Rhinolophus ferrumequinum: one gene and its partners. The protein of the gene in region 4 interacts with the protein of the main gene of each other region in a biochemical or structural test. Links are inferred from orthologs where the notes say so. Each region holds a gene or a part of one and is shown on either strand. Other genes may lie near its edges.

Evidence for each region.
Region 1: the proteins of NPPB (region 4) and NPR2 form a complex in vitro, tested with the Homo sapiens proteins (3 studies listed by BioGRID). The link is inferred for Rhinolophus ferrumequinum from reciprocal best matches to the Homo sapiens genes NPPB and NPR2.
Region 2: the proteins of NPPB (region 4) and NPR1 form a complex in vitro, tested with the Homo sapiens proteins (2 studies listed by BioGRID). The link is inferred for Rhinolophus ferrumequinum from reciprocal best matches to the Homo sapiens genes NPPB and NPR1.
Region 3: the proteins of NPPB (region 4) and NPR3 form a complex in vitro, tested with the Homo sapiens proteins (4 studies listed by BioGRID, with this or other methods). The link is inferred for Rhinolophus ferrumequinum from reciprocal best matches to the Homo sapiens genes NPPB and NPR3.

Annotation. Positions count from the first base shown.
Region 1 is NC_046295.1:51,958,859-51,966,664, reverse strand, and holds the start of NPR2 (atrial natriuretic peptide receptor 2), read right to left. Parts: upstream 3,012-7,806; 5' UTR 2,196-3,011; coding exon 1,529-2,195; intron 683-1,528; coding exon 477-682; intron 1-476. UniProt on the Homo sapiens protein: Receptor for the C-type natriuretic peptide NPPC/CNP hormone. Has guanylate cyclase activity upon binding of its ligand. May play a role in the regulation of skeletal growth.
Region 2 is NC_046305.1:52,592,342-52,599,505, reverse strand, and holds the start of NPR1 (atrial natriuretic peptide receptor 1), read right to left. Parts: upstream 3,013-7,164; 5' UTR 2,166-3,012; coding exon 1,451-2,165; intron 765-1,450; coding exon 565-764; intron 165-564; coding exon 51-164; intron 1-50. UniProt on the Homo sapiens protein: Receptor for the atrial natriuretic peptide NPPA/ANP and the brain natriuretic peptide NPPB/BNP which are potent vasoactive hormones playing a key role in cardiovascular homeostasis.
Region 3 is NC_046290.1:21,521,736-21,529,003, reverse strand, and holds the start of NPR3 (atrial natriuretic peptide receptor 3), read right to left. Parts: upstream 3,003-7,268; 5' UTR 2,088-3,002; coding exon 1,280-2,087; intron 1-1,279. UniProt on the Homo sapiens protein: Receptor for the natriuretic peptide hormones, binding with similar affinities atrial natriuretic peptide NPPA/ANP, brain natriuretic peptide NPPB/BNP, and C-type natriuretic peptide NPPC/CNP.
Region 4 is NC_046292.1:8,039,759-8,046,865, forward strand, and holds the start of NPPB (natriuretic peptides B), read right to left. Parts: upstream 3,001-7,107; coding exon 2,875-3,000; intron 2,638-2,874; coding exon 2,409-2,637; intron 1-2,408.

The DNA of each region.
Region 1 (7,806 bases), on a different chromosome or scaffold from region 4:
GCCGGGACCCTCTCTTGCATTCTGACTAGGAATATGACATCTATCTTTAAAGTCACAATAGAGCCGCACTTGCTTTCTAAAAGCCTTTCCTAACCCCAGCCACACTGACTCTCTGTCCTCTGAACACTAGTCCTCACTGTCTGTTCCAGGACACATAATCATATCCCTTCGTGCACTTGTATATAATTGTACCACATCATGCCTCACCTCGCCAGATCTTTTCGTGTACTTTCCTCCCCCACACTATAGTCTACTGCTGGCACTGAGGAAAGTCATTGTTCTGGGATCTTGGGAGGGAGCCTTGGCAGGCACACTGAGAAAGAGTCACAAAGGTGGGGACGTAAGAAAAAATGATACTCAGCTTGAAAAGCCTCTGTTCATTTCACTCCTGCAGCTCACAATTCCTGCCCTGTTCCTGGGGTTTCTGTGGGGGCTTGTGAGTCCCCTTCCTCCCTCAAGTCTGGCTCAAATGATACCTGAAAGGCTTCTCTGAGGGCCTGGGCCTGTTCCCAGGTGCGATTGTCCTGCCAGGGTCGGCCTGTAGAGCGCGTGGGGCCTGCACGGAGACTCTCCCCAAAGACATCCAGGTAAAAGAAGACATAATCCCCATTGGTCAGGTTCTCCCTCTGGGCTTGAAGCAGGATCTCATGCAGCATCTCCAGAGGGCCGCAGATATACACAACTGGGAGCAGGTGTACAACACAGGGCATCCTGAGAACGGATCCAGGTCCCCAAACAGCCCCCTCTCTGACACCATCAGTATTTCCATCTTTAGCAAGGCAGAGAGGGCCCTCACCTACCCACCACCCAACAGATGCTCCCGAGCCCTCCCTCTTGGAGTCTACGTCATAAGTACCCTGGGGCCACGCAGACCATCTGGCAGAAGTCAGAGTCTGACTCCAGACCCCAGAGAAAGGGAGCTATCAGCCTGAAGCCCTCCTCTTCCCAGAGCCCTGCCTGCTGCTCCCCACCCAGCCCTCCTCACTCCCCCACTCTGCCCTGCCTTTCCCTACACTCAAAGGCACTGGATGCTCAGAATTTCTCTATGTGAGCTTTACCTGCCTTTCCCAACCCAAGCTGCTGAACCCCAAAGCCCATTTATACAGTCATTATTACTTTAGGGACATTATAGACCCACACTATAAGGGTCTTGGTACCCCAATCTGAGAAATCTCTGCTCACAGTCACACATTTTGGAGCGGCCATTAACCACATCACTACCCCAGGGCACTCACACTGCTCCCCAAATTCAATGCCCCCCCAGTCCTACATTCTCCCGACACAAGCTTCACCCCCAGGCTATCTTCCTCCTTGTTTACATCTGCCCCTGACGACCGCGAGCTCCCCTGATATAATGCCTTAGCCCTCACATAAGTGCTCTGTCCACATGTGCTTCTGATACTTCTGGATCCCAACCACCACGTGCAGCTCCTCAAGGCCAGGCTCCATCGACAGCGTCTCAGTGCTGACCTCCAGGGAGACAGCGACCCTCCTCCCCTGACCCTAAAATAGCCGGGGCCACACTTACTGCGCCCGTTGGCCCGGATGAAGTGGGTGGCCTGCTCAGGGCCCCCTGGCTCTCGGGCATACACCTGGTGCTGCACACTGAGGTTGCTGCCCTGCAGGGCCTCAAAGACGCCCTCGATGGTGAAGTAGTGAGGCCGGTCGTCTGTGCGAGCGTCCAGATACAGCAAGGCAGCACGGGCGGTCCAATTGAAGTGCCCATGTAATGTCACTACAAACTCACCCAGCTTGGGAGCAGAGGGGCCAGTGCGCACCAGGGTACGGTAATGCTCATTCTTAGCCGCAAAACCAGAGGCCACAGCACCCGCAGTCAGCAGGGGAAGGCGCCAATGAGACGCAAAGCGGGCCACCGACGCAGCAGGATACACACAACCTGGGCCCAACAGAAGGTCAGGGTCATGGTACAGCTTGAGGTCCACAGCGCGCAGCGGTGCCAGGTACTCAGAGCAGGCGCCATCTAGTTCAGAGCTGACAAACCGCAGGTCCACAGGCAGTGCCCGGCCCAGCGCCTCCACAGCTAGTGCCACAGCAGGACCCACCCGTGGCCAGGCCCAGGCATAGCTCAGGTTGTGTTCTGGCAGCACCACTGCCAGTGTCAGATTCCGCGCCAACGGAGGACGCACCCCACCTGCCAGGGCTGCCACCAACAGCAGGAGTGATGGCAGTGCCATGGGGAGAAAGCAGAAGCCCCACCAGCCCCAGATCCTGGGGCCACTCTGGCCTACCTGGGAGGCACAAGCACCACCCAGCCTGGAACCTGGGGAAGTCGGTCAGGAAGAGAAGTGAGGATAAGCTAGGTAGACTGAGATAGGAAAGTGGTAGGGTGGGACAGGAGGAGATGGGAGGAAGGCCCAGGGGGTGGGTAAGGAGTGGGTCTGCCTGCCTTGGGTAAGGACTGAGCACTAAGAGCCGGGTGGCAGGAGGAGGGAGGGACCAAAGGGGCCTGCGGCTGGGATGGGGACAGTGAGAGGTGAAGTAGACTGATGAACTTAAAGCTGAGAAGGCAAAAGGGATCCGAGGCTGGGATGGGGTGGGGGTGGGGGGAGGCTGGTACAAAGAAAAGGCCTGGGGGCTACCTCACAGCTGAAGGGGCTAGGAGGGCAGAGAGCGGCGAAAAGGACCAAGGGGTAAGGTGGAAGGGGGCCCGCACCGCGGAAGGACTGGGACCATGGGCAGGCAGGGAGCGAAGCGAGGCCTGGGCCGGACGGTAGGGAAAGGCACGGGTAAATCTCCCTGTGAAGGCTTCTCCTGAAGCTCCTGCTTGGACTAACGGGCCCAGGGCGCTGGTCCCATCCGGAGCTGCGGCGGCCCCGCCCGTGTCCCAGCTCCTCTGCTCAGCTCCTCCTGGGCCCGGGCTGCCGGCGCTGCCCGGCGCTTCCTCCCGCCCCCCGCCTGGGCCCCCGCGCGCGCCGCTCGTCCAGGTCAGGTCGCCGCGGCAGGGCCCGTCTCCGCTCGCTGCGCGGGCGGCGGCCGCCGAGTGTGACTCCTCGGGCAGGCCGCCTGCCCCCGCCCCGCGCCTCCCCCGCCCCCTCCCCGCAGCCCCTCCTCCTCCCTCTCCCGGCCCCACCCTCCGGCGCCTGCAGTCTCCCCCCACCCCCCACACGGGCGCCTAGGGACCTCCCAGGTCTCCAACCCACCCGGTGACAACTCAGGGGCGCCGCACGGGGCCTCTCAGGCCGGCGAGGTTTCTGGGCGTCCTCTCGCTTTAAGGGCCTACCCCTGCCTCCCCCAAGACCATGGGCCACTCCTCTGCTCTCTATCCATCTCACTTTCCTATCAGCCCAGGGCCTCTCTTGTTAGGGTCCTCTCTCTTAACTCCGCTGAGTCCCTCAAATACTCCAGTCTCCAGGAAGCAGTCAGGAATCCCCAAATATTTGGAATCTTCACCAGTCCTCCACCTAGTAAACCTTACCACTCTTCTCATTGCCAGGAGCCTCTCCTTCACCATGCCTGCTCGCTGGAACACTGGCCCCTCCAGGACCAAGGGGTGTCAGTGATCGAGTTTTCCTGAGTCCTTACAAAGCCCAAGTCTCCTTTTCCCTTAGGACGCAAAGCTCCAATCTCCTTCTTCCTGTGCCCATGCCCCCGGCGCGCCCTCCCATGTCCTCAGAGGCCCACCGTAGCCCACTGGGCTTCCACCACACCATCTGCTCCAGGGCAGGAGCCTGTGACAGCCTCTTCTCTCTCGTCTCCCCACTCACCCCACACAGCACAGCCTAGCACCTGATAAAAGCTGGTGGACCGGCTATGCAGAACATTCTCCCAGCAATTAAAGCCCATTGTATCCCCCTTGGGTTCCTCCCCACTCCCAAGCTTCTAACCTAGAAGGCTCACCCCAGATACCCCATATCTGGATTGCGGATCTGATCCTGAGGAACAGCTTGTGAGGGATGACATCATGGTTGCTGGGTGGGATTACTATGGGACCTTGGGGAGTTTTTCTCAATTGTCATAAACCCATTCTCCTCCCCCTGCCGAGAGCCACAGTTCGTCTCCCCCCTTCAAGCCACTTCAGAAATCACAGTGCCAAGAAGCTACATGAGCGCCTGAGTAGAGGGAGGAGAGGGGTGGGAGTGCGAGGAGAGAGGAGGGGGCGTAGTTTCTCTGAGATGAAGGCGACACCTAGTGGTTTTGGGGAAAATTTTAAGGACAATGCTATTTTATTCTTAGGTACGGTGTTTCTTTATTGAACACTGGCTTCCTTGCACATGCGTTAGGGGTGAATACAATAAAAGCTGAATGATGTAGCCCTTACTTTGAGGAGCGTACAGATGGAATCCCTGAGGGTGCCGAGACCAAAGGCAAATCCCCCAGTAACATATCTTGCCCCAAGCCCCAAGAAATGGAAGTAAAACAGCTCCTTTTTTGATCACGAAGGGATGGTAACTCCAGTTCCAGCTTCCAACATTGGTGGTGAAAAGGAATTTCATTTTATCTGAGCAAGGAAAAGAAGGATATAATAGACAAAAGGGTGATGGGAAACCTGAGAAAAGACGTGGCTCTAACTTTAGACTGACCCAACCAAATAATACTTTTTAAGTAACTACATACAGCTTAATGAGAGAATCAAACCCAAAATGATGCAATCTCTGCCAGAATCACAGAATTTCAGGGCTAGGAGTTGTTTTATAAAGATATTGTTCAATCCCCTCATTTAAAGATAATTGAAACTGAGTCCTAGAGGGGGAAGTCACATAGCTTCCTCAGCTGACTCTCTCCCCCAACCCTACTTGGCTTTTAATAGTAGAACAGAGACTTTCCTGGTCTCTAAGGTGGGGCTCTGTATAGCTATTCTGCTGACTCATGGAACTCACCATATGAAGCCATGCTTACAGGACAATGGCCACCAAAGACCCAGAGGAGTTTCTCTGGACACCTGCAGACCCGAGTGAGGACCAGTCAGCACTGTTGCCCAGACTCCCAAACAAATTTAAGTGCAAGGTATGTCATTTCAAACATCTTTCCCCTTCTCTCTCTCTTCCAACCGGCCACTGATACTAGAAAGTGGGAAAGGGTGGAGAAATAAAAGTTAATCGCTTAATGTGCCAAAGGCAGTGAAAGGCTTTTGTTTTGTTTCTTCATTTGGGGGTTGTGGTGAAAATTTTAGATAAATGAGAAATTTGGTTATCTACATGTTCCCATTATCCAAGAGATCACTGCTGTCACTGATGTGGACAATCAGATTTGGGCTGTGTTTGGTGACTCCATGCAACTCATGCAAAGCCTGGGAAATCTAAAGATCCTGCTGGCCTGAGCAGCACCAAGCTAGGATCCACCTTTCTCTCCATAGGGTTGGTAATGCCTCCTTCACACAGCCGATCTATAATTTCTTCTGGAACAGGACCAACCCATGCACCTTATTTCTGATCCAGAGCTAAACTGCAGAACATCAGATCAGCTAGATGCTGGAAGCTGCTGTGGTTTCCAAACTACCTTGTTCCTTAGTGGAAAGAAATTCTGAGCCCCGTCACACTTAGGCCAAAGGACCTTCAAGACCCCTGCCAAGTTCTGGCACTGCCGTGGGATTCTGGCTCCCACTAATCTCCATGGCAAGCTTTGATATCCCAAACTGACTTTCAGTTCAGCACTGAGCAGTTTTATAACCTACCTCATTTCACACCTAACTCTGAACCCTCAGGTGTGCACTACACCAGACCATGCCTCGGGGCTGTAAGAAGCTGGAGAAACAAAACACCTTCCAGCCTTCTCCATGCTTGACTAACCTGACTTGCAGAGCAAGGCCCTGATTATGTGTGATTGTCTTCTGCGCACAAGACACACGGGTCCAAGAGAACCTGCCAACAGAAGGCAGAGAACAGGCATGGAAAGTAAGATAAAATAAGGCAGAAACGGTACACTTCAACTGTAACATTTCAATCAGGGAGAGGAGGAGGCAGTGAAACGTATTGAAGGCAAACAAAGACATTACTAAAATTCTGCATTATTTCTTTTAGCCTCAGTGAGGGAGAGATAGAATCCTGAAAACAGGTCAAACCCCCATTATTGCTCATGTGGCCCACTTCCCCCCATACAGCAGCACACAGTATGGTTCTATACCTTGGGTCCAGTTCACCTTCTCATAATAGTCAATATCCTTTAAGAGCTGCTGTTATTGTTTAAAGGGTCAAGGGTTTTTACTTTGAATTCACACATCGCTTTCTTTTATGAATTAAAAAGTTTTTTAAGTTAAAATATTTTCAGATCAGATCTCAGCTTCTAATTTACCTGTCTAGATAAGTATTCTATAAGTTGAACTGGTTCCATACTCTGAGGGGCAGAAATACCAGTTTTGTGAAAAGATAGTCCAGAAGAGTAGTTTTTTCCATGAAAAATCTTTCATAGAGAGCCAGTGATCCCTAAGAAGGAATTTAAGAATTATCAGGAGAATTTATGTTCAAGATGATTCAAGCTCTACCTAGGTGAACCCATTTTCACCTGTCTGCTCCATCCAAGCCTGGACTAGCACTTCTGTGAGTGTCCCGGAAGGTCCCAGTGGCTTCGATGGCTCTTTCATACTTGCCCTGTTTTCCCACGTACATATACTGCTTCCCTCTGTTCCTATTTCCACCCATCACCATAATTACCAGTAATTACTTACCACCCCTTGGGAGCATCTGATTGCATAAAGTCTCCAATATAATATTCTCTGTTAATATTTCCCTCTCCACTCCACTTAAAATTCTACTTTCTTCACAAAATCTTTCACTGAAAAAAAAAAGTGGCATATGTTCCCTCGCGTTTTAAGTCCTGCTCAATTTACAAAAATCTCACATAAAAAAAAGCAGAGGGAGCATGATCACATTAGCTTCTAGAGAACTGAAGTGTATTTATCACTCTTTTAATCTTCTGTTCTGCTTAGAATTTTCTAGAGAAGCCAAAGACTGGAAGAGGAGGAGAAATCTGAAGCAAGACTTGACAAAACCGTACTCTTTTGCATGGCTGTAGTATGTCATGAACAACAGAACAGTTAACCTGACATTCAATGTAGGGCTGTGAAGACCAGTGAAGAGACTCCTGGAGAAATTCAAGCATGAAATGCTAAGTGCCTGGTCTAGGATGATGGAATAGTAGTGGAAAGAGAGAAACAAATGTGAGATGATTTGAAGGAAGAAACAACAGGACTTGCTGGCAGACTGAACCTACAGGATAAACAAGAAAGAGTCAAAGATTACTCTAAGGCAAGGGTCACAGAGGCAAAAGCCAAGCAGAAAATGTAAATGCGAGAAGCAGCTGGATGCAGCCCTTGCTCCATCTAAAGTGGATGCTGCCACTCTGGGATGGAGCCCAGAGTTGCCAGTTCCAACATTTTTTTCCTTTGGACTGTTTCAACAGCCTCAGTGACAAGTCTCTGGGCCTCCAGTCTCACCTCCCTCCAATCCACCCTCTACAATGTGTTCAGATGCCAAAGTGGCCTTTTGAAATGAAAACTTAATTATGCCACTTCCCTGCTTAAAATCCTTAAATGGTTCCCCATGGAAGCTATGTTTTTCAAGCTGTTATTTTTAGCAGTAAAACCCTTTCTCCAAACAAAAATTTAAGCATAAAACAGAAAGAGGCCCAGCTGCTGCAGATGAGGTAGCAATGGTGGGCCCAGAAACAGGCACCCCCTGCCCTTAGCACCTCCTGAGCCCCTGAACCTCTGGGTGGTACCCCTCAAACAGGGGGAGAACAGAAAGATTTTCCAAGGGGTATGTATGCACAGGTGGTTTCAAGAGAATCCCTTTCCAGATCCTTCCCTCCCATATGTACTCTTCCCTAAAACTAATTTGCCTAAGAATAAGC
Region 2 (7,164 bases), on a different chromosome or scaffold from region 4:
ATGGAGAAGGGGCTGGAGGTCCACTGCAGGGTCCCAGAACTCCCTCCTACCAGGCCGTCCTCCACGGTGAAGTTAAACTGCTCCCGGGCCACATGCTTTAGCTGCTGCAGGAAGTGCACGTACTCAGGATTGTCTGGCTCTTTATACGTAATGATTTTGGCAGCCTGAGGAAGGGGTCAGTGGGGACGGGTGAGCTGGGGGCTGACCTGTTCTCCCAGGACCCACCTCCCAGAGCTGCATCTCGGCTTAGCTCAAGGTCACACTGGACCCTACGCCCGCCCCGTGAGGTGACGCCTGCCCTAAAGCAGGAAATCCAATGGGACGGCTGCCCCGAGTCCTGTCAGTCTGCGGGACTTGCACCTCCTTCCACCTCAAGGCCATTCCCAACTCTTTTCCGCCTCCTGGCTCTGAGTCCCCGGGCCCCTGCCCTTCGTCATCCAACTCCCTGGAGCGTCAAGAACCTCTTTTTTTGGGATCCTTTTAGACACTGAGGCACCCACTGCCCTGACACTACGTGCCACCAGCCGGGAGACCCACAGCCTCGCTTCCCACCTGGACACTCACCTGAAAGGCCTGGTGGGCTCTGACATCCTGCCCATCCCCTCTCTCCCAAGGCCTGTGGGGGTCACGGCCATGTGCACCTCGCAGGCTTTGCCCGAAGAGGTCCAGGTGGAAGAAAACGTAGTCGCCCCCCCTCAGGCCGGCTTCCACCGCCATGAGCATCAGGGTTCTGAAGGCATCTGGGGAGCTGCAGACGTAGATAACTGGGGAGGAAGAGGGCAGTCAGACAGCCGCCTAGGGCCCCGGGGCAGGGGGACTCTTCCGGTAGAGAAGCTGGGGCTTCCAGGGGGACGTCCTGAGACCCTGGGGTAGTTCAGTGGAACTTCTGCCTCAGTCCAGGCTGTGGCAGGAGAAAGATGGCGATGGGTGGGAGGCGGAGGTGGGAGGCGAGAAGGAGCAGAGATCGGGACAGTGGGAACAGCAGAGCCGAAGGTGGGGATGGTGGGGTCGGGAGGGGTGGAGGAGGGAGAGGAGGGCCAGCTGGAGAGGGGACTGCGGAGAAGCGGGTGTGTGGGAGTAAGGGGAGGAAGAGATGGAGGAGGGGAGGAGGCCGTTGGGAAGAGACAGAAAGTGGGCGAGAAAAAAGGGACGGGAACTAAGCCGGGACCTACTAAGTGCCAGGGTGGCAGCAGGCATTCCCCCGCTCCCGTTAACTCCGGAAGAACCGGTGGGCAGGAGGTGGGACAGTAGGGGAGGTGAAGAGAGACAGGAGCGTGGGAACGAGAAGAGGGCACTGGAGAAAGAGAGGGAAACAGCCACTCAGAGGTGGAACGGGCCGAGGAGGCTGAGACCCGAGTGAGGAGCCGCGAGGAGGAGGAGGAGGCGGCAGGCGGGAGAAGAGAGGGTTGGAGGCGCTGGGGCGAAGCGGCGGCCCCGGGGGCGCTGTCACCTCGGCCCTTGCGCTGCACGGTCTGCAGCAGCTTGGCGTAGTGGTCGAGGTCGCTCTCGGCGAACTCCATGTGTTCCACCGTGATGTTGAGGTGGCTGCGGAGGCGCAAGAACAGCCCCTCCACGACGAAGAAGCAGGGCTGGTCGTCGCCCGGCCGGTAGCCGTAGAGCACGAGCGCCCGGTGCTCCCAGCCCAGCCGTCGGTGCAGCGTCGCCACGCAGTCGCCCAGCTTGGCGTAGGTGGGCCCGGCGCGGGTGGTGAGCGCGTACTCGTCCTTGGCCCCGAAGCCCTGCGCCGGGGCGCCGGCCGTCAGCAGCGGCACCCGCCAGTGCGCGGTGAAGCGCCCGACCGGGGCGGCGGCGTACACGCAGCCGGGGCCCAGGAACACCGCCGGCTGGTGCTCAAACTTGAGATCCACGGCGGTGAGCGGCGCGGCGGTGTCGGAGCAGACGCCCCGCGCGTCCTCGCTGCTGCCCAGCACCGTGCGGACCGTCCAGCCCGGCAGCAAGTCGGGCCGAGCCTTCACCCCGGCCAGGGCCAGTTCCACGGCCGGGCCCACGCGCGCCCACGACCACGGATACGAAGTGTTGACCAGCGGCAGCAGCACGGCCACCGTCAGGTTGCCCGCGTGGCTGCCCGGGAGCAGTAACAGCAGCGGCGGCAGAAGCAGCGGCAGGCGCCGGCGGGCGCCGGTGGGCTCCCCGGGGTGCGGCATGGCCTCAGCGGGCGCCGGGGCAGGCAGGCGCTCCCACCATGGCCTCCGCCGTGCGCTCGGGCTCAGGGCGCGCCCCGGTGGGAGGGGGGCGGAGCGGGGCGGGGGCGCCCACCCGGGAACCCGCTGTCCACTCCAGCTGCGACGGTCACGGCCCGGAGCGCCAGCGGCCAGCGGGAGGGAGGGCGGGCGGACCCCGGCTGGGCGCGCGCGGGCGGGGTGCGCCGAGGGCTCTGCGGAGCAGGTGGGCGCGGGGAGGGGAGCGCGGCAGCCCAGGGGACCCGAGTGAGCGAGAACGTGTGCGTGTGCGTGTGTTAGGAGGGAGAAGGAGAGAGCGCTCGCTCGCGCTCCGGGGAGAAGGTGGGAGAGGGCGCGAGGGAGGGAAAGGGGAGTGAGCGTCGCGAGTGCGGGAGCGCTGCCCCAGCGAGTGAGCCAGAAGCGGCGTCCGGCCGGCCCAAGTCTCCGGCGGCCCGGGGGGAACTGGGGAGGACCCGAGCCAAGCTCCGAACCCTCCCTCCCGGCCGCTTCCCCTCCCAGAAACGGTGACAGCAGAGCCAATCCCGGATCTTTAACTCTTTCCTTCCTGCCCCCAAGTGGCGGGCTCTCCCCTGCCCACAGCCCGCGCGCTGCCCCCTGAGACTCTCTCCCCGCTCCTGGGCCGCCCAGTGTCTGCCCCCCTCAGAGAGGCGGCCCTCGCCGACCGGGGCCCCCCGCCGGGATGGGAAGGAGGACTGAAAAGAGAAGAGTTTGGGAGCCACCGGGGGCGTCTTGCGCCCACATCTTGTCCTTTCTCACCTGGTTCCGTCGGGGGAAGAGAGAAAGACTGTTGGTTTGGGATCTCTCGGCAGGACAAGGTGTGAGTGTGTGGAGGTGTGTGCATGGGGGTGGGACAGGAGGGTGACGGGTTTCTGGAAAAGACGTTCAAGTAGGGGAGCCCTGGGACCCAGGGATCCAGTCCATCTAGGATCGCCCCACCCCACCCCGCCTGCCCCAGGGAGCGCATCCGCGGAGAAAAAGGACCCGGTGGAAGGATGAAGTTAACTCTTTAGTTCCCAAATGGTTGTGGGCAAGGGAGGGAGAGCTTGAAGGTGGCTGGAGGGGGGAAGAGGTGTGACCTCAGGGCCGCTCCGGCAATGTGACTGTGTGCGTGTTTTGTGTTGAGAAGGATTGTTAAAATGGGGTTCGTGGTGGCGGTGGGAGATGGTGTTGAAAATGACCAGGAGAGGCGTAATTTGGGGAGAAGTTTTGGGGGCACTTGACCGCTGGGCCGCAGGGCGGGACCGCTGTGGAATCCGTCTGCCCTCTAACGGTCAACAGGCGTCATTGACAGTATTTTGCCGCCAACCTCTCCAAACCTGCGCCTGGGCAGGACCCAAGGTCCCCAAACTTCCTTGGTTTTGCAAACAGTTCCAGGGGACCTCGTACGGGTTAAGCACCAGCTAGATGCTGAGGGCAAAAGAGAGAAATATATGTAGTCGTACCTTTGAGGAGCTCTATTTGGGATAAATAGCCATAATGTAATATCGTTAAGCACCAAAACAGAGAGATGGGATACATTGCATAGAGGCCCAGGTGAGCATTATTTTGCCTGCATCGGAGCCAGGAAAACCTCTAAAGAGAAATAATTAAACAAGGGTAGAAAAATGAGAAAGGTATTTTGTGTAGAGAGAGCAGAATACTGAAGTACGTTTTCTATATATGGAATATTAGGAGAATTTTGAATATAATTATGGTCTAGAGCAAACGGTAGCCCATGGACCAACTTCAGATGGCGGGCATGTGTTGTTTGTCTTGCATTCTCATATATATATATACACACACACACACACATATACATATATACATACATATATATACATATATATTCATATTTAATTTAGTTGCCCACGCTTAAAAGCCAGCATATGGTACATGAATATTTGGAGTTCTGGCTTGTCTTGGAATATTGCAGAGCTGGTAAGGTAGGTCCTGCATCTCTCCCTGAATCGTCAGCTGGAACCAAGTACCCCTTACCTCCTTGAGATGTTTAGTTTCTCACGGTTCTTAGCCACCCTGTTTACTCATTGTCATTACTGGCTGCAGTTTATGTTTACAACCCTGATGTAGGATGTAAGATGTTGGAATTACCTGGGAGGAGATGTCTTTGTTCTTTCTGTTAGTGGGGCTCCAGATTCCATAGACGTAGATAGGAGTAGGAGATTGGGATATATATATATATATATATTTTTTTTTTTAAAGAAAACAGTTTTATTGAGATATAATAACACAATAAACTGTACATATTTAATGTATATACAATTTGAGGAGTTTGGACATATTTACACACCCATGAAACCATCACCACAGTGTCTAGGTAATAAACATACCCACCACTTCCAAAAGTTTCCTTGTGTCTTTGTGTGTGTGTGTGTGTGTGTGTGTGTGTGCGTGCGTGTGAAGAACACTTAACATGAGGTCTACCCTCTTAAATGTCTAAACGCATAAGACTGTATTATTGACTATAGGGAGATGTTTTGTAACTAGATCAACTGGACTTCAGGAAGAGAAGACAGTATACAAATAACTGAAGTCTAGGTGACATCGACCCATTCGTTGAAAAGCTGAAGAAGCAGGTTTTGGGGAGATTATAATAATTTCAGTTTATGGGGTTTGAGGTGCCTGTAGATACCCAGGTGGAGGTGTCCAATAGGTCCTTGAATTAGTGGAGCTGGAGCTCAGAAGAAAAGACTGGACTAGAAATCTAATTTAGTAATTGAGCTCCTCCATCAGCAATAGTGGACCAAATAATGTGTCTAATCCCTGAGCTGAAGACAACTAAAATGTTGGATGAAATCTTTTAAAAATCAAAGCACTAGTAAAACAGTGAGGAATTATTGGTGTGAGAGCAGAAAAGGACAGGAAAATAGAGAGGTGAGACCAGCAGTGGGACTGCTTTTACCCTGGGGTCATTTGCTGGTCCGCATCGGTGGCGGAAAAAAGGCTGTGTGGGGCAAGTGAGACAAAAGTTGGAGTCCAAATGTCCCTAAGGGTGAGAACCCTGGTAAACCACTGTACTATTTGGGGTTAGGTTCCTGGAAGGCTGCATTCCTAGGGAAAACCTAAGAGTAGGTAGAAAATCCAGCTCCAAAATATTCAAAAACCAAAATTCAGAACCAATTGATGGGTTTCACAGCAAGTTAGACTCCACTGAGGATCAAGTAATGAATCAGAAGGAAGGACAGAAGAAATTACCCAGAATGAAGCGTGGATAAAAAGGCATGAAAAACATACGAGAGAGTTAGAGGCATAGAGGATAGCATGAGAAAGTCTGAAACACCTTTATTTGGAGCCCAGGACAGAGGGAAATAATAGGATAGAAGTCATATGTAAACAGATAATGGCTGAGAAACTTAAAAAGTGAGTGAACTACATCAAGCCACAGATTCAAGTTCAACAAACCTCAAATAAGATGAAAAACAATTCCCTATTTAGATCCATCGGAGTGAAAGTGCGGGAAATTAAATAAAAAATAAAGCCTTTAAAATAGTAAAACGTATTGAGTACCCTCAAAGGTGCAGCCATTAGATTGACAACGTTTTTTTCACAGTAAAAATGGAAGCCATAGACAGTAAAAGAATATTGTAAATGTGCTGAAAGAAAATTAGTCCCATCTAGAAACCGATACCCAGAGAAAAAATGTCCTTCAAAAACAAAGGTGACACAAAGACGTTCAGACAAACCACAACCAAGAAAATTAGCTACCAGCAGAGGGGTACTTATTCTCCAGCAGAAGGATCAGTCCAGATGAATGGTGAATGGTTGGAGTTGCAGGAAAGAATCAAGAACGTTAACAACGGTAAATCTAAAGGACCACAAATTTAACTAATAAGCGTTAATGCCTTGTGAGATTGAAAATATATAATTTAAATTCTGTGCACATATATCTTACACCTACCAAGATGTGGAATGCATCTGACCACAAGAATCTTGTACACAAATGTTCATAGCAGCTTTATTCATAATGGCCTCAAACTGGAAACAACCCAAATGTGTTTGCCTGTGTCTCAGCCAGTTGGAGGTCCTGAATTCATCAAGAGGAGAAAGGACAAACAAACTATGGTGTATTTATGCTACTCATAAACAAAAAAATTAATTGCTGATAAATGCAAAACCCTGGAAGAATCTTGAAACGTGTCAAGCAAAAGAAGCGAGGCAGAAAAGAGTACAAACACTCTGAGTCTATTTAAATGAAGGTCCAGAACAGACAAAACTCATCTATGATAATAGAAATCGGAACAGTGATTGTCTCTGTGGGCGGGGCAAAGGGGTATGAACCAACTTTCTGAAGGGATAAAAATTTCTTTATGTTGATCTGGTGGTGGTTACATGGACGGGCTACATCACTCAAAGTTTCTCGAGCTGTAGGCTTAAGATCTGTGCATTTTGTTGTAGTAAATTATACATCAATAAAGTACTTAAAAGAATTACACAACAGCGATAGTATATAATTCTGGAGGGAGTAATGGTGGTAAATAGAATTAAATTATTCCTGCATTTCTCACGAAGACGGTAAAAGTATTACATAAAATTAGACTTTGCTAAATTAAGGATGCACGTTGTAATTTTTAGGGTAACCAACTAAAAGAGTAGAAAAAGAGTGTGTAACTTTCAATTAACAGAGACTGGGAGGTAATAGTGCAAAAGAAGGAGGCAAGTAGGGAAGAGAAAGATTACAGGAGGGACAACGCACATAGTAATATGATTGATTTAAATGCAAATACAGTATATACGTATATGTGGCTGTTAAAACCTCCTAAAAGGGTGAAATCCGTCAGTTTGTAGAGAGGGAAGAAGAGAGATGGGGGAAACTGGGCAACGGGGATGGGTCTGGCCCTTCTGTCCTTACTACTTCCCTGCTCTTTTTCTGAGACCTGTTTCCAAAGCTGCCTCAGTTTTGCTTCTAGTCCCTCACCATCAGTGTTTTCCCCGCTCTGATTCAGTCAATATACTGCCCCCTTTTCTT
Region 3 (7,268 bases), on a different chromosome or scaffold from region 4:
CGCTATGAGTCGGAGATGGCCACATTGGGAAGGGGGTGGCCGCAGCCCCATTCTCTAGGGCTCCTCGGCCCACTCTCACCTGTTCCTGAGACCTCCAGCCTCCGGTTGCGCTGTCTCAGGTGCCGGGCGGTACCAAGTCGTGGACTAGCCTGGCGCCTGGCTCAGCCCCTCTCCCCTTGGGTCTCCCGGCGTTGGGTCGTGGAGAGCTTTACTGGGATTGCTCCACTAAGAATCCAGGCGCGTGCGCGCCTAGCGGGACCAGAGGCGGGATTCCCCCAGCGTTGTGCACCCCAAACCTGACACCAGGAGGGAGGGAAATGCGTTATGCTGGGACCTCAGCCAGCCTTTCCGCTGTACTCTACTGTAAAATGAGCCACATTGGGGGCTTTCGCGACTGCGTATCCGCGACCACCCGCTCCCTGTAGCCATAGCCACCATCCTCAGTCTTGAGCTCTTCGTCCAGTTTGGTGCTTATTCAAACCCCCACAGACCCGCGAAGAAAACGGTGGGGGCGGGGGCGGGAAACACAGGGAAAGGAGGTTCGGCGCTCACTTCTCCAGCGTGCGCGCCCGCAAAGCCTCGCTGCGGGTGCTTTAGAGACCGCGATGCCCAACGCGCCGGGGGAAGTGAGTGTCGCCTGAGTCCAGACACAGAGAGGCATTTTTGGTGGAAACCACATAAGCTCGTTTATAAGGGGTTGGAAGGAATGAGAAGGGCGATAAATGAGCTTTTAAAAGAAAGCTGGGGTCTGTGGAAGGAGCAGCGGGGAAACCCGGAGACCTGAGCTAGCCATGTGGCGGCGTGCGGGCTTTAGAGCGTCTTCAGACGCTTCAGCACAGGAAGGGGTGCAGGTCCGAAAAGAACTGGGTGACAAGTTCTTTTGGCCTCTGCATGTTTTTCAAACCCTGGTTGCAGTAAGGCACCGGGAGTACGCCCCTAATCACCAGCCAGGCGCTGGCGAAGGGGAAGGGAGGAAGGAAAAACCTAGGCAGTTTGACAGCACCTGTCGGACCTGGGCACGCCGGAGCTGCGGGCTCAGACGCCCCTCCCCCAGGTTCCACCACCTTCCCCGGACCCTCTACGTACACCCCGCGACCGCGATGGGTGCTGATTAAAGGTTGTAGCTGCCAGACAGCTCGTTCCCGAACGCGCGCCCTCCCCTAGTCCTTAGTGCCGCAGCTGACAGTGGGGTCCGCAGAGGAGCGGATGGGTGTGTAGGGAAAGCCGGCGGGGGGGAGTGGTTGGGCTACCGCGGGGGCCTGGGGCGCGCGTTGCTCACCTCGCTCACTGGCCTGGATGTAGCGCACGATGTCGTCCACGTCTAAGTCTTTGGTCTCATCGAAGCTGTAGGCGGACGTGTGCAAACCCTCCTCCTGGAAGACTTCGTGGACGCCCTCGAGGGTGAAGTAGCAGTTCCGCTCCAGCTTGTCGTCGCTGTAAAGCAGCGTGGCGCGGCTCCACTGGTGGTGGCGGAACAAGGCGAGCATCATCTCGCCCATCTTGGCGTACGCGGGGGATACGCGCGTGAGGTGCGAGTACTCCGTGTCCTTGTGCTGGAAGCCGGCGGCCAGTGCCCCGGCGGACAGCATGGGCAGGTCCCAGTGCGACGCCAGCCGGGCCACTGGCGCCGCCGCGTACTCGCACACCGGCCCCAGGATGAGGTCCGGCTTGGCGCCCCGCGCCGCTGCCACGCGGTCCACCAGGCTGAAGAGTGCACGGTTACCGCAGTCTGAATCTTCATAGGCCACCTGGAAGCGAGTGCCGGGTAGCAGAAGACGCTGCCCGGTCCGGTTGCCCTCAATGCTGCGCAGCGCGTATTCGATGGCCGGCCGCACCCGGGCCAGGGAGAACAGGTACGAGTCGTCCTGGGGCAATAGCACCAGTACCTCGATCTTCTGTGGCGGCAGCGCCTCTCTCTCCCGGCGCTCGCCGCCCAGGCCCTCGCCCCCGCTGCCACCGCCACCCGTGCTGCCGGCTACCGACACCCAGCTGAGCAGGACGAACGCGGAGAAAGTGAGCAAGGACAGCATCGTGCCGCAGGAAAGCGCCGGCCCTCGCTGCCGACTCGCCCTCTGCCCCCCACCCATCCTTCCTCTTTCCTCCCCACTCTTCTCTCCGAGGTCCCTGCGCCCCCTTGGGCGCTCTAAGAAAACAGAATACCCCCTTCACTGACTCGCCAAAAGATAGAGAGGAAGTGTCCTTCTTTGCAATGTCACTCGTTTAAAAAAAAAAAAAAGAAAAAAAAGAAAGAAAAAGAAGAAAAAGTTCACCGGGTGTAAACCTGTACGCCTGTAATATATTTATACATATATATATATACTTATCATAAATATATATATTCGCCCTCCCTTCATATATACTATTTTGCTTAGAGTGGCTTCTATTTGGGCGTCGCTAAGGTCGCTTTTGAAAGCATATTTGTAAAAGAAAAAAAAAGTTAGACTTGTCCAAGTGCTTGTAATTGACGGTGCATCTGCTTCGCGTTTGATCTCATTGATTCGCGCCGGTTCCTGGATCCATAACCAGCGTTTAAATAGCGTGGCAGCGGCGGAGCGTGTTACCACACAAGGCGCGCCGAGGCCGGCCTTGTATTTCCAGCGGGTGGGGAAGGTGGGGGTGGGGAGTAGTGGGGGCTGGGCTGGGGGAGCCTCTCATTAACATTCTTACATCAGGGCTCCTCCCCGCACCCCTTCCCTTCCCACCACTCCCCTTTCCCTAACCCCCACTCCCCTCCAACTCTCAACCTCTTCCTTAAAGCCACAGTCGCCCACGTCCGCACCCGCAGGAGCCCCCACCGCACCGCACCTCCTCCGGGGTCCCCGCCTCTCCCTGGCCCCGCACGAAGCAGCGCTCTCTCCAGCCCTGGGCTCTAAAAAAAGAAATGCTTTTGAAAGTAAAGCAATGCGCGCAGGCACAAACACAACGTGCAAAAATAAACAGCAGCATTAGAGGAAGGAGTGGTCCTAGAAACTGGTCGTTTCGGTGCAAAAATCCGTAGGTCCCGCTCGCTCTCACCTCTTTCTCACTCCGGCCACATTCCCTCATGACGCGCCAACTCCGGGTGAGCACCCGACCTTCCCTGTCCCCTGGCGCTAGGTAAGGGAACTGGGGCTAAGGACCCAGTGCAGGCGGCTTGATCGCGGACCTGAAACGCCCTACTAGCCCGGGCGTTAGTCGCACCCCTCCTTCCGCATCCCAGCACAGGCCCCCCTCCCGCTGGGCAGCGCAGGTTCGCGCCGGAGTCGCAGCGTCGCTGGGATCCCAGGGATCCCGCGCACAGACCCTCTGCCGCCGCACAGCGAGCAGGAAAGCGAAACTTGTTGCTCCCAAAGACAAGCGAATGGTCTGGCTTCTGGAAGTGGCAAAAAGCTTGAGAAGCATCTCCAAGGCGTCCTCGGGGGTTGTTTGCTAAGCCAGGTAACTAAATAAAGAGACCTTCTCCCCATTTCGTTACCCCAAGGGTCCCCTGGGTGCAGGCGCGCTCTCCGCTCCAACCCGAGCGCTTGGAAATCCAACCGCTTCTCCCTGGGGGAGCGCGAGACGCTGTGCTCTGAGTCCTGCAATGCCGAAAAGGGTCCTGCCTGGGAGATCCAGTCCCGCCACTGGTCACAGCCACAACAGCAGTGGAGACAAGGATGGAAAAGGCCGCAGGGAAGTTCGTGGCCAGAGGAGCCTCGCGGGATTCCGCGGCGCTGCAAAGCCGGTCCGAATGGAACTTGACCCTCTGAACGTGGTAGCACATCCAGGTCATTTGCGATGTGAACGTGCTACATCGGACGGGAGAATTCTGGCACTTAAGTCCCGCAAATTAAAATAAATTGGAAATGTTTTAAAACGGTCTTCCATTTGACTGGGCGTCGTGTCCACACATTTCTATTAGTCTTAGACTAACGCCCTCTTTCGGCAGAAACTTGCAGCCAACTGGTATGCAGAGTGCCGCGGCTCCAGGCTCTGCGTGTTTTGTTTTGTTTTGTTTTGTTTTGTTTGTTTTAATGCCGAGGCCCGAAAGAGCAATCGCTCTCGTTTGTGAGCGTGAAAATGCAAATTGGGGTTTCCGGAGATGTGGCGGCTTGAGGCAGCAGCGCTCGCCGCCTTAATAGCACCCTCCTTACCGCTCTTTCTGGCACCAATAGTGTACGGGTAACGTTTCATCCTCTGGGTCATTTAGATTTCAGGTTATGCACTATGATCCCTGACTCTTCATGTAGGAGCTTCTAACTCTTGGGAGAACTTTTCATTTGTTTAATTAGAGCTGCTAACCAGTAGGAAAAGAAGCATCTGTACAAGGTTTAATTCCACAAATCGGGTAATCCACACACACTGGATACTGAGATTTAGGGTTTACACAGCAATTAAATCCTCCCTGAACTCCTGGGAAGGAAAGGAGGGAGGGAGGAAGAGAAACAGAAAGAAAGAAGGAAGGAAGAAAGAGAACAACGGCTTAATCCGAGGGTTTTAATGGATTTCCAAACCGGTTGCCAGGAAACGTCAAGGAACCGGGGTTTCCTATTACCGTTCGCTATGCCGTGTGTCTGGGGAACACCAGCCAATGGCGATATGATCCTGCACACTGTGTAGCGTGGGCTTATTCGGAGAGTCTGGAGTTTCAGTGGCACCGGGCGTGAACGCCTCTCCTCTCCCAGGCGCTGCCCAGCGGCGCCGAGGGTCACGCGCCGGGCAGTAAGTTTACGTTTGGGTGAGTTTCAGCCTCTCGGTGGCCTTTGGATCAGAGCTCTCAACTTCCAGCTTGTCATTCAAAAGTACCAACAAACCAGGCTGTGGACCGGAAGAGCCCCCGAACTGGACAGCAGAACCAGAAAAGCCCTTAAATTTTTCCAAAGAGCAGAAATTAGGATTTTTAAAAGTTTTTCAAATGAAAATAGGCACGAAAGTATAGAAACACCCCCCCCCAGTAATATAAGTATACGGATTTTAATGTTACCAGTTTGTTTACTTTCCATCAAATTCGATTTTTCCCAAGCAGCTGAAAGTTTGTGTAAATATTATGAATGTCATGGAGTTCTCCAATCTTAGGGCTGGAAAGGACTTTAGAAGTTGTCCAGCCTGACACCTGGCACTCTCCAGATGAAGAACTGAGGCCCAAAGAATATAAATGGCACACTTAAATACCTCTTCATCCCCTGAGAATATTTTCATGTGGAGTTGGATTAGAAATAAAGCATGTACCACCCATTACACCATGTGAAAGAGGGAACAAAGCTAACTTTCACATTAAGCAATAACATTCTTTATGTCAAAATTTTTCTTTGTGTGTAGCTAAGTTTTGAGGATATGCAGCACAATAAGATTACTAACAATTTATCATAGAATTTTTGCAGCATTCTAATCATGAAGATAAACCCAGAAAGAAGGGGGGGAAAGTGAAATAATTCAGCCCTTAGACTCAATTTTTAAATATTGTTCTTTTTAATTCTGTAAAACACTGACATGGAAAAAAAAGAGAGACAAGGAGCACTTTTTTTAACACTCAAAAGAATTGCCAACCTTCTCTGAGTGCATTCTTTCAGGTCACAATTGCTGAATGAAAACAAAAGAAAGCTAAAAGGAAATGCTGCAAAATAAAAAAATAAAAAAAAAGAATTAGCCAAATGAAAGCCTAAGGACAGTGCTAGCCCTAAACATGATGTGACGGAATCTAAGAGACTTTATAGGATTTAGAAATGTTTCATCAATATCCACAAATCATGTTCTTTTTAAGTTGCTAAACAAGTTGGCAAGTTTTCCTTAAAGTATTCAACTATGTGTTTTCAGCTCTGCGAAATGAAATCAGTGTCTGTATCTATTCTCCTGCTACCAGGAAAGACAGCATTATATAGGGAACCTTACTGAACATGCAGTTCTTTGAAATGTGTCAGAAATGCTATCAGAGAGAAGTTTTCTCCACCAATTTTAATAGCCTGTGTGTCCTTCCTCAGAATCCTGAAGGCAACCTCTAAAACAGAGCCCTTCCCAGTTTTCAAAGAGAATCTCTTCTTGGTTAAGCCAGCCCTGAAGTCACGCTGAATAATGTCCCTGTGAAGCGGTAGCCCACAAAGAAAATACCTTCTGTATATTCGAATTGTTGAAAACACACTTCCCCCTAGAGGCAGAAAAGATGAAAGAATATTACACTTAATTCAGGAATATGTCTGTAACTCATTGAGTGTTGAGATTTTATTTTTAACCTATAGATGATGTTTTTTGAGGGAACCATTCAAGATGTGGGAGGAAAATCAATGAATGCCAAAAAATTAAAACTTGGCCTCTAGGTCATAGCTTTCCTTAGCAGAGACTGTTAATTGACCCTTTTTCTTCTATTATACAAATCTACGATTTTTTTTCTGCCAGCACTATAAATAATAGTGATTATATATTTTTTCTATTGAAATTTATTATTCAATTTCATCAGCAACTACAGTTAAATGTGGCCTTGAGGAATGCTTTTGAAACCACAGCTCTGACAGATTTATCTCCTTCTGGTCAAATTTGTTTCTGTATTACTGTCCTCTTACGGTTTCCATCAACTACAAACTTTCTTTATTTCTTTGGAGATTTCTTTGTCTTCTGAGACAAAATGACATTATAAAGACTTCCAGAAAATACAGAGCTGGTCTGTGATTTAACGTGAGTACTGGCATGGGTTTTCTAGGATTTGCAAGCCACATGAAGAATTCTCATATTGCTGAGTTATAGGCAAGTTATTTAATGTAGATTATTACATTCACAAAAACAGTGGATGTGCCTCAACTTCATGCACACCAATACTGACTATATTTAATTGGTTTATTTAGTTGTACATTGCATTATTCCAGAAAGGATTTGAGAAAGCACGTGGAGTTTTAGAAAATTTCCTCAGGGCAAAATGCACAGCCATTGGATCCTACTCTCTTGGATCCTACTTTGTTCCTAAGCCTTTACTAATGGGCCAAGCCTCAGCAACATTTTCCTCTCCCATCTGAGTTTCCACAGAATTCCTAATCACACTCAATTTTCTTTCCACGTACAGAGAGATACGTCTTGGTTAGCATCCAGTCTTCTGAGTTGTATCCCGTGGAAACAGCAGGCATTTAGAAGCCTCACAAACATGGCTGGAGGTTAGTGATCACCTAACCTACTGGACCTTCAGTTTTCTCACTTTCCTCAATGTCCTCGCACCTAACATGGAGGTAATGATATCATCCTGATGTTGCAGGAGTAAGAATCAGAAACAATAGACGCAAAGTGCTTCGAATACAGTAGGAAATTAACAAATGGCAGCTCTTGGTATT
Region 4 (7,107 bases):
TACCCATAACCTCTCATGGACACTGGGTTCAAATGAGAAACAGCACAAAGACCAACAGCTTCGGGTTCCCCCCTCCCTCCCTCAAAGAAACATTGCTGAGAAGAGCAGAAAGGCTGTGAGAGTGCAGTTCAACGCTAGGAGCTCAGGGAGCCGGCACAGGCTTCAGAGTCTCTCGGATCTGCACTCAAATCCCAGTGATGGCATTGAGTGGCCGCATGGTCTCAGGTAGGATGCTTCATTTTTTTCTGGGTCTCGGTTCTCACATCCATAAAACGGGGATAAGAATAATCCTGTCTCCTTTAGCTGAGTTGGACCATAAAAGACATGATGAAGGGAGCAGAGGCCTGGGACCCTGAAAAGCAGGGACAGGCTCAGTAGTTGATCAGAAGGATGCAGGGTGAGGGGCCCACAGAGGACAGGGCAGGATCCCTACCAGGACTCCCTGCTGATTACAGCAACACAGTAGGATTCTGGTTCCTGTCTCCTTTTCTACCTTAGAATGAGGGCCTTCTCTCTCAGGGCGGGAGGAAGTGATGCTGCATGGCCCCAGGGAAGGGGCGCCCTGAACCGCTGGGCTTCTCGCCAGACACTTCTAATCTTATGGGCTTGGGAAATGATGATACCATCAAACTCAGGGTTTGAAAGCTCCTTTCAGGATGACATCAGGGATTGAAGGCTTGAAGCTGAGGTTTGGGGCAGGATAAGGGGCTCACTCCCCGCCCCCCTTCAGGAATGCAAATGAGCAAGTGGTGTATGTGCGCGCGCGTATGTGTGTGTGTGTGTGTGTGTGTGTACACTCACGCGTGCGCACACACACACTGCCCCCAGTCTCTGAGATTTTAGCTTAGACCTTCTGGAAACAACACCAGGAAGAGTGGAATTCTAATGGAATTGCAGGCAGAGGAAAGAGGAGTCGGGCAAACACTGACACACACACTCACGTTGCACAGATACATCAGGGACCATTCCTCTCTCAGGGAGAAACTGCCGGGCTTTGAAAAGCAGTTTCTGGGAAGTGTCTTAAATGCCTGAGGTATTTCTAGACATTTCAGAACATGAAAAACCCATTAAAAAAAAAAAAGAAAGCCCCCTCCCCACTCCACCCTTGTTTGACCAGCCCTTGAGACCATGTCCCTACCCCGTCGTTAAGACACTTTTGGGACCTCCAAAAAAACACAGGGTTTGGGGTTTCTTTTTTGAAATGATGCATTATATTGACTGCACTAAGACAAAACTATTTCAAAAGAAAAAGCTTTAATGTTGACTTTATCTCACCACGGAAAATTTGTGCTCAAAGGTGAAAACTGGATTACATAAAACAATCAAATAAATATAAAAAAAAAAAAGCAGTAAGTAGGAGTTGCTTCAAAGGAGACCAGAGTTGATGACGAATCAAGTGCAAATGTCTGCCGCCAGGATTTCCTCTTAACCCTCCAACACTGTGGGGGGGGAGAGAGAGGGTGATGATGGTGTAAGAGAGGGAGAGAGAGGCAGGCTCTGAGCTTCCCCTCACTGTGTGCCACCCCTGCCCCAGCCCCCGAACCTCGGCTGATCTAGATATTTGAAAATTTGCAATAATTCATCTCTCAGTGCCTCAGTTTCCTCATCTGTCAATAGGATTATGGCCACCCTGATGATCCTGCCCTCTGCTTTTGCAGCCATAGACAGTTAATGGGAAACCAGAAGGAAAATGTGGGGGCAGATGGGTGGCTCAGTTGGTTAGAGTGTGAGCTCTGGGCAACCGGGCTGCCAGTTCGATTCCCACATGGGCCAGCGAGCTGCGCCCTCCGCAACTAGAATGAAGTCAATGAGCTGCCGCTCAGCTCCTGGGTGGCCGGATGGCTCAGTTGGTTGGAGCGCATCCTCTCAACCACAAGGTTGCCGGTTCGACTCCCATCCGAGGGATGGTGGGCTGCAGCCCCTGCAACTAACAGCGGCAACTCGACCTGGAGCTGAGCTGCGCCCTCCACAACTAAGATTGAAAGCACAACAACTTGACTGGAAAAAGTCCTGGAAGTACACACTGTTCCCCAATAAAGTCCTGTCCCCCTTACCCAATAAAATCTTAAAAAAAAAAAAAAAGAAGAAGAAGGAAAATGTCTAGGGCACTTTCTGCTTCCAGGAAGAGCTGCCAGGCATGCTGGATGGCACCTTAAAGCAATTTGGACCTTTTGACAACAGGTACAGGAGGAGGATTGAATGTGGGCGGCTCTCGTGGGCGTGGTAACATTGAATATTTCCAGAAAGGCACTCCTTGGCCCTGAGAACGGTCAGCAAGAGGGGGTAATGTCCAGGTGTCCCTTTCTCAGAGTGTGGTCCCCAGAGACAACAAACCCAGAAGGCACTCTCATGGTGGAACCCCCAGGAATGAGGGTGGGTGTGGCCAAGGTGGCAGGGAGGGAGCTCACCATTGCAGCCCAGGCGACTGGCGGTGTTGATGCGATCCATCTTCCGCCCAAAGCAGCTGGAGGCAGGCATCGTCTTGCTGCCTTGTTGTCTCTGCTGGGTCTGGAAGTCACTGGACCCAAGGCTGCCAGTGGAATTTGCCTGTTTGGCCTCCCAGTCTTCTACAGAACCACTGTCCTGCTGGTGGAGCTTTGGGGCCATCTGCTCCTCCTGCTGCTCTGAAACCTCGTCCTGCAGATTGTCCAGTAGTTTTTGCGGTGGGTGGGGATGCCTGAGTTTGGGAGCCCAAACCTGAGCCCAACCACCCTTGATGGCTCCCTAGTGAACCAACTGCCTGGCTCCCCGTCTCACCACTTTCTGATTCCCGAGGGAGGGTGAAGACCGCTTGTGACAGTCGGCGGAGACCCGTTCACTGCTGCTGCCTCGCCCTCCAGGCCCGAGGGGTTTATGCAGTCTAGCAGTGCTCACCTGTACTGTGGACAGTTCCATGGTAGGGCCTGGACCACCCACAGGGTGGGAAAGACCTCCTAGCGGTGAGAGGTGCAAGAGCAGGAGAAGCAGGAGCGCCCGGGGTAGCGCCATCTGGGGGTCCATGTGGCTGGAGCGGCGGAGGTTGCTGCTGCTGCGTCTGGGTTCACGGCTCACCTCCCCGCAGCCCACGGGTGCTCTTCTGGATCCTTGGGTGCCCACAGCCTTTTATCCTGGGCCCGGGATCCTGGCTGGCCCTGCCCTCCAGGGTTATCTAGATTTATCGCCCGTATTCGCTCCGGCTGAGGTCAGGGCGGGGGAATGCACCCTTCAGCGCCTGCGACCTGTACTCCTTGGGATAGAGCCTGGGAAGAGCAGGCCTTGTGTAGAAATGGGCCTGGCAGGAGGCGGGAGCGCGCGGGAAACGCCAACGCGTCCCTCGTCTCCTGCAAAAATCCCATAGGCCTTAGAGCAGCGCTTTCTTTTTCCTCCCCACCCCCAACCATTCCTGAAGAGGGACAGAAAAACTCCAGCTGATGGAGGCCCGATGCAAGTGCGGGGCGGGTGGGGTGACGCAGAGTGAGAACAGCCTCAGCCAGCTCCCACCACCGCAGTGCGTCTTCCCTCCCTTCGCAAATTCTCTCACCAGCCTGTAAACTCCGCACTCCTGGCTCTTTGCACCCTGCCAGGCGGTGGGTCTCCCCTGTGCCCTGACCGCTGTCCGTGGTTCTGATCTCCCTGAGCAAACTCAACGCAAAAGGTCTTGCTCCCTTCAACACAGGTCTAGCCAGAAAGACAAGTGTGGGGCAGGGGCAAGACCCCACCCCACCCTCCCACAACCCCTGCACTAGGATGCTAATTCTCCAATGTCACCTGATTAAAAGCCTGGATATGACAAGGACTTTCTGGAATGCTGACCCGACTTTCATCCCTTAAAGGGTAGAGCTGATTTGGCTGGAATTTTGAGAGGCAAGGCCCAGAGATGAAGTCATCCAGGAATGCCTTCTATCAAATCTCCTCCAGGTGCCAACACCTCCTCTCCATCACCAAGCCAACATATGACGGGAAAAGCAAGGATGACTGTAAGATAGTTATCTATTTGGTGGGGCCCTAGAGGTGTGAGGAGTGCCCTCCCCCAGGCCTTCTTCATCTGCTCATCCATGATCTAATTCCCATCAGTAGATGGTCTGGACCTCCCATCTGTGATTACAAATGAGGCTCCAAAAAAAAAAAACAATGGCCCTGGGAAGAGACAGAGATTAAATCCCCTGAAAGTATGCATGACCGATGTCACCACCCCTTCCAGATAACTTGTGTTAACAAGCGGCAGAATGAGGGAGCAGCGTTGTTCAGGAAGAGAGATTGGCCATGACAGAAGTGGAGGAAGGGACAACAACGGGCAGAAGCTAGGACCTCTAAGCAAATCTTGCCTTAAAACAAAAAAATCAGGGGCTGGCCCGGTGGCTCAGGCGGTTAGAGCTCCATGCTCCTAACTCCAAAGGCTGCCGGTTCGATTCCCACATGGGCCAGTGGGCTCTCAACCACAAGGTTGCTAGTTCAACTCCTCGAGTCCAGCAAGGGATGGTGGGCAGCGCTGTCTGCAACTAAAATTGAACACAGCACCTTGAGCTGAGCTGCCGCTGAGTTCCCGGATGTCTCAGTTCCTTGGAATACGTCCTCTCAACCACAAGGTTGCCGGTTCAACTTCCGCAAGGGATGGTGGGCTGTTCCCCTGCAACTAGAAAACGGCAACTGGACCTGGAGCTGAGCTGCGCCCTCTACAACTAAGACTGAAAGGACAACAACTTGAAGCTGAACGGCACCCTCCACAACTAAGATTGAAAGGACAACAACTTGACTTGGAAAAAAGGCCTGGAAATACACACTGTTCCCCAATAAAGTCCTGTTCCCCTTCCCCAATAAAATCTTTAAACAAAAAAATCAGCATCTGCCAGGTATGGAGTGAGAAAAATACTGTTATTTTTCCTCATTTTTCAGATGAGGAAACTGAGCTCAGAGGAATTAGTTTACTTTCTTGGGGTCACACAATTGACAAGTGGTGAAGCCTAGATTTCAACCCAGGCAGTCTGATTTCAGACCTGAAGCTCTTCATCGCTACCAGGGAGATTGCAAAATGTTTCTACTAAAAGGAAAATTAGATTAATGAGTTGTCACCTCTCAAGTTACAGGGAGCTGTGCTGTGAGGGATATGTAAGTCTGGTGGCTGTGCATGCATATGGTAAAGTTGAGCATTTTGCAGACGAAGATAGGGGAAGGGCATGTAAAGATGCCAATCCTGGGAAGATTCTGGAGTCTGGGGCAGTGTGTGTGTGTGTGTGTGTGTGTGTGTGTGTATACACATACATACCACAGGAAGAATATCCAAAGACTTAGTGGCAGTGAGAGAGAACAAAATCCAGCCAAGTGCAGAGCTGAGTCAAAGGGTTGGGGGCTGCCAAGGGTGTGGAGTTCCTCATGCTGGGTGGCATGAGGTCAAGGGTTTGGGGCTAGACAAGAGTCATCAACCAGCCCCTATCAAGAACTGACTGCATCTAAGCTGAGCCTCACTTTGCTCTTCTGCAAAATGGACATATGCTCCCTCCTTGTAGGCACTCAAAAGGAGAAAATGATGTCTGCGAAAGCCCAAGGCAGTGTGGAAAAAGAATTCAGAATGAGTGTGAGAGTTTGTCCTTGTAATGTGATCTCACTGAGGAAACAGTCACCCAAAAGGAAACAACTAAGTGCTAAGTTCTCTGACAGTTGCTACCTTCCCCCAGTGGACAGGATATGGGAGACTTTAGAGAAGAAACAAGACTGAATGCATAGGGGAGGGATATTATCAATTCAGCATTCACACCAGATCATGCCCCACAAACATTTATTGAGTGTCTACTGTATGCCATGCACTTTCCACTTCTATTAAATGGAGTTAATTATACCACGTATGTCACGGTATTGCCACCTAAGGATTAAATGAGATGGTATATGTGGCAGGCTGCATAATAGCACCCCAAATATGTCTGTGTCTTAATCCCCAGAACCTGTCAATGTGTTACTTAACATGGCAAAAGGGGCTTTGCACGTGTGATTAAATTAAGGGTCTGGAATTGGGGAGACTATCCTGGATTATCCAGGAGGACCTAATGTAATCACAGGAGTCCTTATAGGAGAGAAACAGGAGGGTCAGGGTAAGAGAGAGAAAATGGAAGGATGAAAACAAGTCAGAGAAGAGAGAAGATACTACACTGCTGGCATTTTTGAAGATGGTTTTGAGGATGGAAGAAAGGGCCACACGCTAGGAATGTAGTTGGCCTCTAGAAGCTGGAAAAAGGCAAAGAAATGGATTCTTCCCTAGAGCCTCCAGAAGGAACACAGGCCTGCCTGCTGACAGGATTTAGCCCAATGAGACATATTTCAGACTTCTGATCTCCAGGACTATAAGAAAATAAATGTGTGTTATCATTTTTTGTTTTTTATTTTTTTTATTGGGTAACAGTGTGTTTTTTCCAGGGCCCATCAGCTCCAGGTTGTTGTCCTTCAGTCTAGTTGCGGGGGGCGCAGCTCACCATCCCATGAGGGAATCGAACCCGCAACCTTGTTGTTAAGAGCGTGCACCCTAACCAACTGAGCCATCCAGCAGCCCCTAAATGTGCGTTATCTTTAAGGCACTAGGTTTGTGGTCATTTGTTTTAGCAGCAATACAAAACTCATGTAGTATATGTAAATGCTGGATACAGTACCTGGCACTAGTAAGTCCACAGTAAAGGTGGCTATAGTGGCATGGTGGTTCTCACCAACGTCAACCCCTGGGTGCTGGGTGCTAGGTGCTGGCTACTGAGAAAGACAGGAGACCCTTCATTTATGCACCAAGATTTCATTGAAGGCCTGGGGTCCCAGTGGTCTGGAGTCCAGACTCTGGATCCAATGCCACCTCAACCTTCTGCTACTTCTGTGACCTCGGGCAGTTGATTTGTCTCGCCTGATGTTTCTTCATGTCCACCGAACAGGGCTGCTGTGAGGATGAAGTGGGCCTGCGCAAGTAAAACTAAGCTTTCTGCTGGGAGGTAGGAATACACACTGGGAGAGGCAAATCGCCCCTTTGAGGAACATACAGCGTAGGAAGAAAACCAGGCGCAATCACATGCCGCTTCCCCCCCAAGACATGACCACTGACACAGCGCCTTTGCGGTGCAGGTCCCCGCCCCCCACCCCCACCCTCGCCGGCGGCCACCC